2 linked regions of the Stegostoma tigrinum genome follow. The protein of the gene in region 2 binds, or shares a complex with, the protein of the main gene of each other region. Links are inferred from orthologs where the notes say so. Each region holds a gene or a part of one and is shown on either strand. Other genes may lie near its edges.

Region 1 (7,330 bases), on a different chromosome or scaffold from region 2:
GAGTTTGAGCTACACAGAGATGCTAAATTGGCAGGGGCTCTTCCCTGAAACATCAGGGACTGAAGGGTGATCTTAAGATATTTATAAAATAAAGAAGAGCATGGATAGGGTAAATAGCTCTTATCTACATCAGTGGAACTGAGGTGGAGATGGTTGAGAGCATCAACCAGTCTCCCTTCCAAAGGATAATACAATGTGAGGCTAGATGAACACAGCAGGCGCAGCAGCATCTCAGGAGCACAAAAGCTGATGTTTCGGGCCTAGACCCTTCATCTAGGCCCAGAACGTCAGCTTTTGTGCTCCTGAGATGCTGCTGGGACTGCTGTGTTCATCCAGCCTCACATTTTATTATCTTGGATTCTCCAGCATCTGCAATTCCCATTATCACATCCCTTCCAAAGGAGAAATGTTGTGAAACTTGAAAGGGTTTAGGAAAGATTTATGAGGATTTTGCCAGGGTTGGAGGGTTTCAGCTATAGGGAGAGATAGACTGGGGCTATTTCCCCCAACTGTCAGAGGCTGACACTTATAGAGGTTCATAAAATCATGAGAGGCATGGATAGGGTAAATAGACAAGGTCTTTTCCCTGGGATGGGGAATCAAAAACTAGAGGGCATAGGTTTAAGGTAAGTAGGGCAAGATAGAAAAGGCACCTAAGGGGCAACTTTCTCACGCAAAGGGTTTTGCATGTATGGAATGTGCTGCCAGAGGAAGTGGTGGAGGCTGGTATAATGACAGCGTTTAAAAGACATCTGGGTGGGTATATGAATAGGAAGGGTCTTAGAGGGATATGGGCCAAATGCTGGCATATGGGACTAGGTCAGAATCGGATGTCTGGTCAGCGTGGATAAGTTGGGCCAAAGGGTCTGTTTCGGTGTTTTATATCTCCATGACTCGAAATCCAATGTGGCCAATTACAAGTCTTGGTTCAAACATAGACAAAAGAGCTCAATTCTAGAGGTGAGGTAGGAGTGGCATCAAGGTTGCATATGACTGAGTGTGGCATAAGGGAATCCTAACAAAACTTGAATCTATGGGCATTGGGGGCAAACTGTTTGCTGGTTGGAGTCATATGCACATTGGAAGATGGTCATTGTCGTTGGAGGTCAGTTTTCTCAGCTCCAGGACATTTCTGTAGGAGTTCTTCACGTTCATGTCCTCAGCCCAACCCTCTTCAATTACTTCATAAATGACCTAGTCTCCAAAATAAAGATCTTTAGACAGCACCTTCCAAACTTCTAACCACTTCCACCTTGAAGAACAAAGCCAGTAGTTAGGTGGGAACACTACCCCCTGCAAGTTCCCCTCCAAGCCACTCACCATCCTGAATTGGAAATATATTGCCACTCCTTCACTGTCGCTGGATCACAGTACTGGAATCCTCTCCCTAACGACATTGTTGGGTCATCCTTCAGCATGTGGACCTCAGCAGTTCAAGAAGACAGCACACTACCACCTTCTCAAGAGCAACTAGGAATGGGCAATAAACACTGGCCCAAACAGTGATGCCTATTCCCCTGAGTGAATTAAAATTAAATGAGGTCAGAAGTGGGGGTGTTCATTGATGATTGCACTATTTTCAGCACCACTTACAACTCCTCAGATACTGATGCAGTCCACATTCAAATGCAACAGGATCTGGACAATTTCCAGGCTTGGGCTGACAAGTAGCAAATAACAATTGTGTCACACAAATGCCAGGTTATGACCATCTCCAATAATGGACAATCTAACCACTGCCCTTTGACATTCAATGGCTTTAACATCACTGAATCCCCCACTATCAACATTCTGGGGGTTACCATTGACCAAAAACTCACCTGGACTTGCCACATAAATGTGGTGGCTATGAGAGCAGGTCAGAGGCTAGGAATACTGCGGCGACTAATTCATCTCCTGACTGTCCAAAGCCTGTCCACATCTACAAGGCATGAGTCAGGAGTGTGATGGAATACTCCCCACTTGCCTGGATTGGTGCAGCCCCAACAACACTCAAGAAACTTGACACCATCCAGGACAAAGCAGCCGCTTGATTGGCACTACACCCAGAACCATTCACTCCCTCCACCAGTAACAGCAGTGTGTACCATCTACAAGATGAACTGCAGAAATTCACCAAGGATTCTCAGGCAGCACCTTCCAAACCTACGACCACTTCCATCTAGAAGGACAAGAGCAACAAATACATGGAAACACCACCCCTGCAAGTTCCCCTCCGAGCCACTCACCGCCCTGACTTGAAAATACATCCCCTGTTCCTTCACTGTCATTGGATCAAAATCCTGAAATTCCCTCGCTTACACCATTGTGGGTCAACCCACTATATGTGGACTGCAGCGCAAACCACCTTCTGATGGGCAACTAAGGACGGACAATAAATTCCAGGCCCAGCCAGAGATACCCAGATCCTACGAGTGAATAAAAAATGTGAGGGGTCCTCAACAGCACCATGAGTTTGTCCCAGTCTCTCTTCACGGATACTCAGCGCTTCTAGCCTTTCCTGGATTTCATTTTAAAATAGAACAAATTAATATTAAATTTCCAGACTAGGATTGGGCCGAATGGTCATCAAATCCTTAAATTCTTTAAATAATTTATGAAATGTAAATATTGACATTTGTTTTCTGTTCCTGTGCTCTCTGTCGCCCTGTTTAGTTTTTCATCTCCACTCAGTAAACAGGCTGTAACCTCATTGAATAAGCACAAGGGACAGATCACAGTCCCACTCATGTCCGGGACAAACGCTATTTTCACTACATCTGGAGGCGAACCTTCCAAACGCGTAGTTAGAACTCAACCTACAAGCCTCTGAGTTTATAATTCATCTCTCCCTCTGTTCTGAAGTTTCAACTCTACCTGTCTTGACTTCTCTTTTTGATTAAAAGAAAGACACTAGCTATGGCACTGTACCTGAGCAAAGCTTCCATAAGAGTGGTCAGTTAGAAAGGCAGCAGCTCGATGTTAAAATCCGGAATGCGAACAGTCCTACTGACTCGCTGAGTCTCTGAGCCAACACTGCTCTGTCTCTCTCTCTCTCTCTCTCAACTTCCTCAACTGAATCCGCTGACTCAGTTCCTTTGCACGGGTTTGACTTTATGCTTTCAAAAAAAAAGCTCACTGACGCCTTGTCGGGCAACTGTTAGAAACTGCAGGTGCAATGAGTAAATGCTGCCCCGGAGTTAACCCTGGGGGTGGGGGTTTGGCCGAGGGGGCAAGGTAGGGTGTCCGACAGAGAGCAGCCTGGGCACGAAACTCCTGTTGCCACTGGCCTTTGCATTCAGCATGTAAACGCTGGACATAAAGAGCAGCATCAGAACCCGGGGGCACACTGACTGACAGCTAGTCAGTGATAGAAACTAGAGTTAGGATCATGGATAAGACTCCTCAACTCTCTGCACCGCAAATCACTTCTCGCTTTGCACTTTGGAGTGAATTTGAGCTGATTTCAAAAAGTTTGGAAACAAAATGCTGGTGAAGCTGTCAAATGAGGCCAACACCATCATTACAAGCACACAACCACTGACCCATGTGTACATCTATACACTCATACACTGACCCATTTGTGTACATCTACACATGCGTGAACGCATAGACTGACCCCATGTGTGTCCATCTAAACATAGACACACTGACCCATGCGTGTATACACACACACACGCGCACACACACAGACCTATGTGTGTGCATCTGCAGAAACACACGCATACTGACCCGTATGTACATTTGCTGACCATGTGTGTACATCTACTCTCATACACCCTGACACGTGTGTATTCCACACACACAGATTTATGTGCGTACACCTAATTACAGATGCACTGATTCGTCTGTTATATATCCACACATACACTGTCCTATATGTATACATCTACAGAAACACATGCACACTGACCTATTTGTACATTTAAACACACATATGCTGACCATGTGTGTACATCTACACTTACACACACACACACTGACCTTTATGTGTACATCGACACAAACACACACATTCACACATACACTGACCCATGTGCGTACATCTACAAGCACACACACACACAGACCTAAGTGTGTGCCTCTACACTCACACAAACACACACACACATCTATGTGTGCACATCTACACAAACACACACAGACCCGTGTGTACATCTAAGCATATGCACACTGACCTTTTGTGTACATTACACAAGCACACAGGCTTACACAAATACTGACCCATGTATGTACATCTACACTCACACACACACTGACCCAGGTGTGTACACCTGCACTCACGCACACACAGAGACCCGTGTGTATCCTTCTACATATACACACTCACACATACTGATCCATGTGTGTACATCTACATTCACACTAACTGACCTATGTGTGTACATCCATGCATACACAAGCTGACCTATTTGTGAACATCTACAGACATAGTCCTGTTGTTCATTGGTTAACTCAATTGGCTGGATAGCTGGTTTTTGATGCTAACAGTATGTGTTCACTTTCCACACTGGCTGAGGTTACCATAAAGGGATCTCCTGCTACCAGAGGTATTGCGACCCTCAGGTTAAACCACCACCAGTTATTTCTCTTTAATGAGAGAGCAGGGCTATGGTGACTTTTGCATTGACCCATGAGTGTGCATATCTGCATAAACACTGATCTTGAGTGTGTGCATCCACCAACATATAGAAAGTCCTATAAGAGATAGGACAGTGTTGGACCTATTCTGAGGGAGCAAAGCCAGGCTAGTGGGAAACGTGAGTCTACTATCAGTATTAGGGATACTGTTGGAAAAAATTCTCAGAAACAAAATCTTCATTTAGAAAGGCAAGGATTAATCAAAGATAGTCAACATGGTTTGAAAGGAGGAGATCATTTCTCACAAATTGGAATGAATTTTTCAGGGAGCTGATTAGGTGTGTAAATGAGGGTAGTGCAAATGATAGGGTAGTCAACATGTAAGCCTTTCAACAAGGGCTAGCATGACAAACTAATTAAGAAGCATAGAGTCCACGGGATCCTGGACAATTTGCCGAATTAGATCCAAAATTGGCTTCGTGGCAGGAAGCAGAGGATGATGATCGAAGGGTTTTTGTGAGACAAGAAGCCTGTGTATAGTGGCATACCACAAGTTTTGTTGCTGGGTCCCTTGCTGCTTGTAGCACACATTAATGATCTAGACATGAATAGAGGAGTTATGATCAGTAAGTTTGCAGATAACACAAAAATTGGTGGTACTTTAAGTAGTGAAGTGGAAAGTCTTAGCCTACAGGATGATATAGATACAGTGGTCAGATGGGCTGAACACTGGCAAATGGAATTTAATGTTGAAAAGAGTGAGGTGATGCATTTTGGAAGGACTAACAAGGCAAGGGAATACATAATAAATTGCAGGACCTAGGAAGTACAGAAGATCAGAGGGACCTTAATGTGGATGTCCATAGATCCTTCAAGATCACAAGACAAGTATGTGGTTTAGAAGTCATTATGGAATTTCTAAATTGATCAGTCAAGGCATTGAATTCAAGAGCAAGGAGGTTATAATGGAGCTGCATAATGTTAGTTAGGCCATAGCTGGAGTACCGTGTGCAAGTCTGGTCACCACACTGTAGGAAATATGTGATTGCATTAGACAGGGTGCAGAGGAGATTCATCAGGATATTGCCTGGGTTGGAGCGATTCATCTATGAAGACAGACTAGATAGGCTGGGGTTGTTTTCCTTAGAACAGGGGTGGGAGGGGGTCATATGATTGAGTAGTATGAAGTTCTGCGCGGCATAGAGAGAGTACATGGGGAAAATCCTTTCCCCTCAGCAGAGGGAACAGTACCCAAGGGACATAGGTTTAACATAAAGGACAGAAGGTTTAGAGGGGCTTTGAAGAAACCAGCTTTCATTCAGAGGATGGTGGGTATCTGGAAATCAGTGCCAAAAATGGTGGTAAACGCAGGAAAACTCAAGACATTTTAGAAGTATTTAGATGAGCACTTGAAATGCCACAGCATACATAGTTACAGGCCAAGTGTTGGAAAATGGAACAAAAAATAGACACTTTATGCATGGACATGATAGGAATTGTTTAAAGGGCCGCTGATGAGAGCTCATTAGCATGTTCCAGTAAAGAGGAAGGACAAAGATGGTAAGGTAATGGACTTTTGGAACACGAGGGAAGCTGTGAATTTAGTCGAAACAGAAAAAGGAAACATATGTAATGTTTAGAAAGCTAAAATCAGACAGGGCCCGAGAGGATTATAAGGAAATCAGGAAAGCACTGAAGCTGGGAATTAAGAGAGCAACAAGAAGCCATGAAATGACCTTGGCAAGTAGGGTTAAAGAGAATCCCAAGTCATTCTACAGTTACATTAAAAACAAAAGGATAACTAGGGAGTAGGTAGGACATTTCAAGGATAAAGGATAAACTTTTGCTTGTAGACAGAGGATGTGGGTGATATCCTAAATAAGTACTTTGTACCGGTTTTCACCATGGAAAAGGATATGGAGGATAGTGAGATTTGCATGGAGCATGCTAATATGCTGGGGCATTTTGAGATTAAGAAAGAAGTGCTGTTGGACCTCTTGAAGAGCATTAAGGTGAATAAGTTCCCAGGATCCAATGGTATCTACCCCAAGTTACTGAGAGAGGTAAAAGAGGAGATTGTTCGGTCCTTGACTAAGATCTTTGTATCCTCACTAGCCACTGAAGAGATCCCAGAGGACTGGCAAGTAGCTAATGTTGTTCCTTTGTTCATGAACGGAAATAAGGACGACTCATGAAGCTGTAGACCAGTGAACCTTACATCAGTGGTCGGGAAGCTATTGGAGAGAATTCTTAGGGATAGTATTTATAGACATTTGGAAAAGCATGATCTAATTAGAGACAGTCAGCAAGGCTTTGTGCAGGAGAGGTCATGTCTTACTAACTTGATTGAATTTTTGGAAGAGGTGACAAAGGTCATCTATGAGTATGGAGCAGTGGATGTTGTTTACACGGATTTTAGTAAGGTTTCTGACGAGGTCCCTCATGGCAGTTTGATCCAGAAGATTAAGATGCATGGGATCCACAGTGGCTTGGCCATGTGGATTCAGAATTGGCTTGCCCACAGAAGGGTGTTTTCAGGCTGGAGACCCGTGACTAGTGATAGTGCACAGGGATCCATACTAGGGCCTCTACTGTTTGTGGTAAATATAAATGACTTATGTGTAAATGTAGATGGGTTGGTTAGTAAGTGTGCAGATGATACAAAAATCAGTGGATTTGTGGATAGTGTAGAAAGTTGTCAAAGGATACACTGTGACATGGATCAGTTGCAGATATGGGCGGAGAAATGGCAGACAGAGTTTAATCTAGC
Region 2 (7,232 bases):
ATCGCCGAGGCCAGACGCCAACTCTCCGACACCACTTCCTACCGCCCCCTCGATCATGACCCCACACCCGAGCACCAAACCATCATCTCCAACACCATTCACGACCTCATCACCTCAGGGGACCTCCCACCCACAGCCTCCAACCTCATTGTTCCCCAACCCGGCACGGCCCGTTTCTATCTCCTTCCCAAAATCCACAAACCTGCCTGCCCTGGTCGACCCATCGTCTCAGCCTGCTCCTGCCCCACCGAACTCATCTCCACCTTTCTGGACTCCATTTTCTCCCCTTTGGTCCAGGAACTCCCCACCTACGTCCGTGACACCACCCACGCCCTCCACCTCCTCCAGGACTTCCAATTCCCTGGCCCCGAACACCTCATATTCACCATGGACGTCCAGTCCCTGTACACCTGCATTCCGCATGGAGATGGCCTCAAGGCCCTCCGCTTCTTCCTGTCCCACAGGCCCGACCAGTCCCCCTCCACCGACACTCTCATCCGCCTAGCTGAACTTGTCCTCACACTCAACAACTTCTCTTTTGACTCCTCCCACTTCCTACAGACTAAGGGGGTGGTCATGGGCACCCGCATGGGCCCCAGCTATGCCTGCCTCTTTGTAGGTTACGTGGAACAGTCCCTCTTCCGTGCCTACACAGGCCCCAAACCCCACCTCTTCCTCCGGTACATTGATGACTGTATCGGTGCCGCCTCTTGCTCCCCAGAGGAGCTCGAACAGTTCATCCACTTCACCAACACCTTCCACCCCAACCTTCAGTTCACCTGGGCCATCTCTAGCACATCCCTCACCTTCCTGGATATCTCAGTCTCCATCTCAGGCAACCAGCTTGTAACTGATGTCCATTTCAAGCCCACCGACTCCCACAGCTACCTAGAATACACCTCCTCCCACCCACCCTACTGCAAAAATTCCATCCCCTATTCCCAATTCCTCCGCCTCCGCCGCATCTGCTCCCACAATAAGACATTCCACTCCCGCACATCCCAGATGTCCAAGTTCTTTAAGGACCGCAACTTTCCCCCCACAGTGATCGAGAACGCCCTTGACCGCGTCTCCCGTATTTCCCGCAACACATCCCTCACACCCCGCCCCCGCCACAACCGCCCTAAGAGGATCCCCCTCGTTCTCACAAACCACCCTACCAACCTCCAGATACAACGCATCATCCTCCGACACTTCCGCCATTTACAATCCGACCCCACCACCATAGACATTTTTCCATCCCCACCCCTGTCTGCTTTCCGGAGAGACCACTCTCTCCGTGACTCCCTTGTTCGCTCCACACTGCCCTCCAACCCCACCACACCCGGCACCTTCCCCTGCAACCGCAGGAAATGCTACACTTGCCCCCACACCTCCTCCCTCACCCCTATCCCAGGCTCCAAGATGACATTCCACATTAAGCAGAGGTTCACCTGCACATCTGCCAATGTGGTATACTGCATCCACTGTACCCGGTGCAGCTTCCTCTACATTGGGGAAACCAAGCGGAGGCTTGGGGACCGCTTTGCAGAACACCTCCGCTCAGTTCGCAACAAACAACTGCACCTCCCAGTCGCAAACCATTTCCACTCCCCCTCCCATTCTCTAGATGACATGTCCATCATGGGCCTCCTGCACTGCCACAATGATGCCACCCGACGGTTGCAGGAACAGCAACTCATATTCCGCCTGGGAACCCTGCAGCCATATGGTATCAATGTGGACTTCACCAGTTTCAAAATCTCCCCTTCCCCTACTGCATCCCTAAACCAGCCCAGTTCGTCCCCTCCCCCCACTGCACCACACAGCCAGCCCAGCTCTGTCCGCCCACCCACTGCATCCCAAAACCAGTCCAACCTGTCTCTGCCTCCCCAACCGGTTCTTCCTCTCACCCATCCCTTCCTCCCACCCCAAGCCACACCCCCATCTACCTACTAACCTCATCCCACCTCCTTGACCTGTCCGTCTTCCCTGGACTGACCTATCCCCTCCCTACCTCCCCACCTATACTCTCTCCACCTATCTTCTTTACTCTCCATCTTCGGTCCGCCTCCCCCTCTCTCCCTATTTATTCCAGTTCCCTCTCCCCAGCCCCCTCTCTGATGAAGGGTCTAGGCCCGAAACGTCAGCTTTTGTGCTCCTGAGATGCTGCTTGGCCTGCTGTGTTCATCCAGCCTCACATTTTATTATCTCGGAACACCAAGGGATTGCAGCCCTTTCTGGTTATGTATTTTTGATATTGTATCCGGAATAGAAAGCAGGTTCTTGTGTGGGATCTTGGGACTGCTGTATTACCTGTCTAGTTGTCTTGGGACTGTCTGGTGGTCAATCATCCCCTACCTGCAGTATGACTGGCTTAATAGAGTGGTAATGAAGCAAAAAACAAAAATTTTGCAAGTGGTATGAATGGCGGAATGATGAACAGTCGCAAATCAACATCCACAAAAAATTACATTTTGAAACTTCTGCACCAAGTTCACTTGCGGACTTGGGGCGAATCCACACAAACAGACAATATCTGATCGACGTGCAAAAAAGAAAGCAAACGGAAAATAAAAGAAAATAGCAACTTCACGTTTCAGCAAATGAATACGGGCCTCGACCGAGGCCGCCATACCGTGCTGCGGAGGGAGGGGTGCAGAGCACGGTTTTAACTTACCCGCAGCAAAATGCAAAGGGGTCGACTTGCGCCCTGCCGTGTCCCTGGCGTTCACATTGTCAGCCCTTAGCAGTCTCCTCACCCGGACCACATCCCCGTTCCTGCAACTCTCGAACAGCACTCTGGTCGGGTCAGGATGAGCTGATATCGAAGTCGATCGATGCTCCCCCGAGCTGGAGGAAGAGGAACCTGCCACTCCGGGGCAGCGACGAGACGCCATGGAAGCAGGTAAAGGGAGACGTGATGTTCTGCGCCCCACCCCCCACCACAAACCATCAGCAGGAGCAGCTCGAGCTCCCCCCCAGCCTTTTGTCCCGCGCGCAAGCAACGGCCAGCGTCACGTGAGCATAGCCGGCGACTGCTAAGGAAAGACGCATGTGCAGTTTTACCATCTCTCGGATGGAGGGGACAGCAAGTTATTATGTTCAGGTAAGAGTTCCCGTTCCTTCTCAGAAGTAGAAAGCAAGTGAATCGTAATTGGTTTCTGAAGGTAGCCTTATTCAAAAACGATATCCCGACCTATGATTTTAAGGGCACACCTGAGATTGCAGTTCGTAGATAGGCAGGTGGAGGGAAGCAAAGTTAACTCTTTACGAGCCTTCATCCTTTGATAATACCATGCACAACCATTTCCGGAAAGATATACCAGGTTCTCACCTTTTTGTTAAGCAACTGTTCGTTAAACTCTAATGATCTTCTATGATCAGCCATGATCATATCAAATAGCAAAGCAGGCTCAAGGCGCTGGGTTGCCTGCTCCTAGTTCTTATGTTTTTTTTCCCGCCTATCTACTCCTATCTTAAATTCCACCCGTACTGTGCTGTTTATACCGTTGTAGGAAGCAACTCCGTGACATCATTGTGAGGTTGCTCCATGGTCCTAAAGCTCTGCCTACAACTGATGGTTAGTTAACTGGAATATTCAAGGGTATGGGGAATTAACATGGAGGAGGATGGCACATTGTCGTAACACTCATTCAGAGAACAGGTGCAGACACGATGAGCCAAATGATCACCTTCCTCCTACGCCGTAATCGTGAGATTCAGTTACTTTTTGAAAGCCATGATCTTGATAAAAGTATTGGGCAACGTTAAAGAGTCATATTGTATTCAAACATTAGCCCTGTTTCATATTTCCACAGATGCTGCTGGACCAATGGGGTCTTTCCTTTGTTTTTATTTCAGATCTTCAGAGCATGCTCAGTTCTTTTGTTCCTATTATTGTTGTAGCTCTTTTATTGTTAATTAAAACACAAAGCTGTTATGACACTCACTTGAATGTACATGCACTAAGAAGTGATATCATCCCCCTAAAATTTCTCAATTGAAATTACACGCTTTTATGTAATATCTTGCACATTAGTCACAAATTATCCTGAAATTATGCCAAATCTGTCTACAAACTGTAATGTGAACAAATAATTTGATTTCACTTAAGAGTTAAATTACAGCAATACCCTCCCTTCCCCTTGGAAATTACAGTGCAGTACAGTCTGCCCTGGAACCATTATGTGAGAGTTTGTAGATATTGAGACTGATCCGGAAAGCCAGATTTGCAGTAAACACCACTGTTTTGATGCACAACTCAAAATCCTTTGATTTCAAGATATTTCAATACATAAGATGGTAGGAATTTCTGGTTAGTTTTTGCCTGGAATACAATCACAACTTTGATGTGCAAAAGAAGGTGAGAGTCAGACTGTTACAAATGTAGAAATTGCTGCAGAAACTCAGCAGACCTAGCAGCATCTGTAGATAAAAAGCAAAGTTAACATTTTAGGTCCAGTGACCCTTCTTCAGGAAGATGTTTCTCCAGCAGTTTTGGTGTATGTATCAGACTTCCAGCATTCCTTTTGTTGTTTTTGAGCATCTCACTACGCACAGTGGCAGTATTGTGGCCAATGGGGTTTAACCAAGGTGCGATTATTGCTTATTGAAAACCGCTAGCAGAGTAAGGTCAACTAGGGGGAGATAGAGGAGGAGATCCTGCAGACACTGTTCTGTCCAACAGGTACAATGTACTTGATATTTGTTAGGGTAAGCAAAAAGACTTGGGGAAAGAAGTCACAGTGCTGACTTCGGCACCATGGAGCAGCAAGGTGTTCAAGATGCAGTTTGAGGGAGGCAAGGTAGGAGGACCAGAATAGGAAAAATGTACTTCTAGAGGACTCACTCGTTAGAAAGATGGTTGGCATCTTCAGTGGTTACGATTGAGAACCTCAGCAGGAGAAATCTCAGTGTGGCTGGAAATGATCAGATCTAATGATAACAGGGAAGAAATGGAGTAATTTCTCTTGATGGAATATTAGGAGTTAGGAGATAACCTAGAAGTCAATGGCTCAACTGTGATGATCTCAGGAATATTACACAAGCCATTTACTAGCTGTCAGAGGGCAAGAAAGAGCTGGAAGATAATCATGTGACTAAGGGTGCAGAAAGCGAAGTAGTTGCGGTGATTGGCAGTCAATCATCACAGCCCCAATGACCATTTCTAACAAGAGAAAATTCAACCATAACCTTTGACCTTCAATGGCATTGCCATTGCTGAATTGCACATGATCAACATTGTGGGAGTTACCATTTGACCAGAAACTGGTGGCAGCAGTTTGTGTCATTGACAGATGCAATGCAACTATAACAACTCATCAAGTATCCTCACATTACACTTTGCAAATGCATGACCACTACCATCTAGAAGGTTGAGAGCAGCAGATACACAGAAACAGCACCACCTGCATGTTACCAAATAGTTAGAAATGGACAGTAAATGCTGGCCGAGTCAGTGACAGTGACCCTTATTTTCTAATTAAATGTAAAATAACCTAAAAGGGTGGTGTGAGGTGGCGTGGAATTTTGCAGGGTTCTGGCAGCATTACAGAGACAGCAGTAATGTACCACTGAGAATTGTTCTGAACAGAAAAGAGAATTAGTGTGAGAAAGGGACTTTACAATAATAAATGAAGGAAAGGTGCAGTCAGAGACAATAATAAAAATGTAACTTTAAAATGGAATAACATTATAATTAAAGGAACAAATATGATACAGATATTCCAAGTGAAGGGATTACTGAAGTAACTAATTATTACAGGAAAATTGTCATATGGGAACCTTGTTACAATGTGAGAAAGACAGGATCACAGTGAAATGACAAGTCATGGTCCCTTGTCAAAACAACAGTTCTGTTTACTAATGAGAAGATACCAAAAACTGCAGATGCTGATGTCAGTCAACATAGTGTGTGCTGCTGTATAAACAAGTGTATGAACAAAAGAGATATAGCAGGTGATGTCATTATGAATAGTTGGCTGAGTTCTAACAATGGCTAATGCACCTAGGGCATTATACAACTGCAGAGGTAAGGGAATTTGTTGCTTGATTGATATTTCTGTTACCTTCTAAGGGTCTGCTGTGACTTTGAAGAGTATTTCGACTGCTTTTTTTTTAAATTCAGGATTATTTATATGCAGGATTAAAAGGTGTGGGTAAATAAAAATATCTGACTTTGAAACTAGATAGGACTGTGACTGATTATAGCTATATGAGATGTTAAGAGGCCAATATAGTTCAACATAAATATTGAATGCCCTTTTTTTCTGTTTTGATTACTTGAATCTGTTGTTCCCACTGGTTCACAATTTCTCTGAAGGGTTGTGAACCATGTCTATATGCCAGAGGGGTCCAACTTCATCGAAGTTGTGTTTGGGGAGTTGAACGGCACCCAATGAAGCCATCAGGGGAGGTGTTTCTACACAGAGGATTGCTACTGCATCCTTGTCCCACGTTGATGAAAACAGCTGGAAATGGAAATAGGAAGCTCAGAATCATATCCTGCCGACCATATTTACATAGCTCTCAAATCAGTCCAGTTTGGCAAAAATCCAGGCTCAGGTTGTACAACCAAGCATTGATTATGGCATGATTATTCGTTATCTCAGTACCTGCACTCTGTTCACATAATGATTGTTTTCTGAGCCTGCCCTGTCAGCAGGCATGTTGTTTGCTGTTAACACAAAATCTCAAAATGCCTGAAATTAGTATTCCATCAGATGTAGAAGCGAAGGACTTTCAATAGTCATGGAACCATTACGTATTATCTTAGGAAGCAGAAGAAAAGAGAAAGAAAATAACCTTTAAACTAGAAATCTACAATCACTGTACTTTCATTATTTTATTGGAAATGTCTCTGACACAATTGACCAGCATCAGGAGGAAGCAATAAAAAAAATCTCAAAGATAAGGTTTGAAATAAAACCTTCCACAACTTTTATTTTTCTTGCTAGAAGGTCCTCTATTTCTGTTATAACAATGGCTTTCACTAGAAAACACTGCTGTACTGTAGAATGTATTTTAATAATTGCTGCCTTTTAAATAAATGTACCGTAGCAACAATGATAAATTTAGGCCACTCCAATGCATATGATGATATCAACTGTGCGATGATAGGTGTCATGTTCTGACTTTGTACTTCTAGACAGACGTCTCTTATGCTGAGTGTGTAAATCAAAAATGTATTCGTGCACAGTGTTTCTTTTCTGACAACCTAATATTCGGGTCTGTGATTGTTTCCTTGGTAA

Evidence for each region. The genes of interacting proteins can lie anywhere in the genome.
Region 1: the proteins of poly [ADP-ribose] polymerase tankyrase-2-like (region 2) and sh3bp2 are in contact, whole or in part, in a crystal structure (PDB 3TWR), measured with the Homo sapiens proteins. The link is inferred for Stegostoma tigrinum from reciprocal best matches to the Homo sapiens genes TNKS2 and SH3BP2. Residues at the interface, in NP_079511.1 of Homo sapiens: Arg525, Ser527, His531, Phe532, Gly535, Tyr536, Asn537, Arg538, Leu560, Asn565, Ser568, Tyr569, His571, Asp589, Trp591, Phe593, Glu598, Lys604; in NP_001116153.1 of Homo sapiens: Leu413, Gln414, Arg415, Ser416, Pro417, Pro418, Asp419, Gly420, Gln421, Ser422, Arg424.

What each region holds. Positions count from the first base shown.
Region 1 is NC_081356.1:130,336,113-130,343,442, forward strand, and holds the start of sh3bp2 (SH3 domain-binding protein 2), read right to left. Parts: upstream 3,012-7,330; 5' UTR 2,911-3,011; intron 1-2,910. UniProt on the Homo sapiens protein: Binds differentially to the SH3 domains of certain proteins of signal transduction pathways. Binds to phosphatidylinositols; linking the hemopoietic tyrosine kinase fes to the cytoplasmic membrane in a phosphorylation dependent mechanism.
Region 2 is NC_081373.1:43,619,479-43,626,710, forward strand, and holds the start of poly [ADP-ribose] polymerase tankyrase-2-like, read right to left. Parts: upstream 3,004-7,232; 5' UTR 2,880-3,003; coding exon 2,660-2,879; intron 1-2,659. UniProt on the Homo sapiens protein: Poly-ADP-ribosyltransferase involved in various processes such as Wnt signaling pathway, telomere length and vesicle trafficking.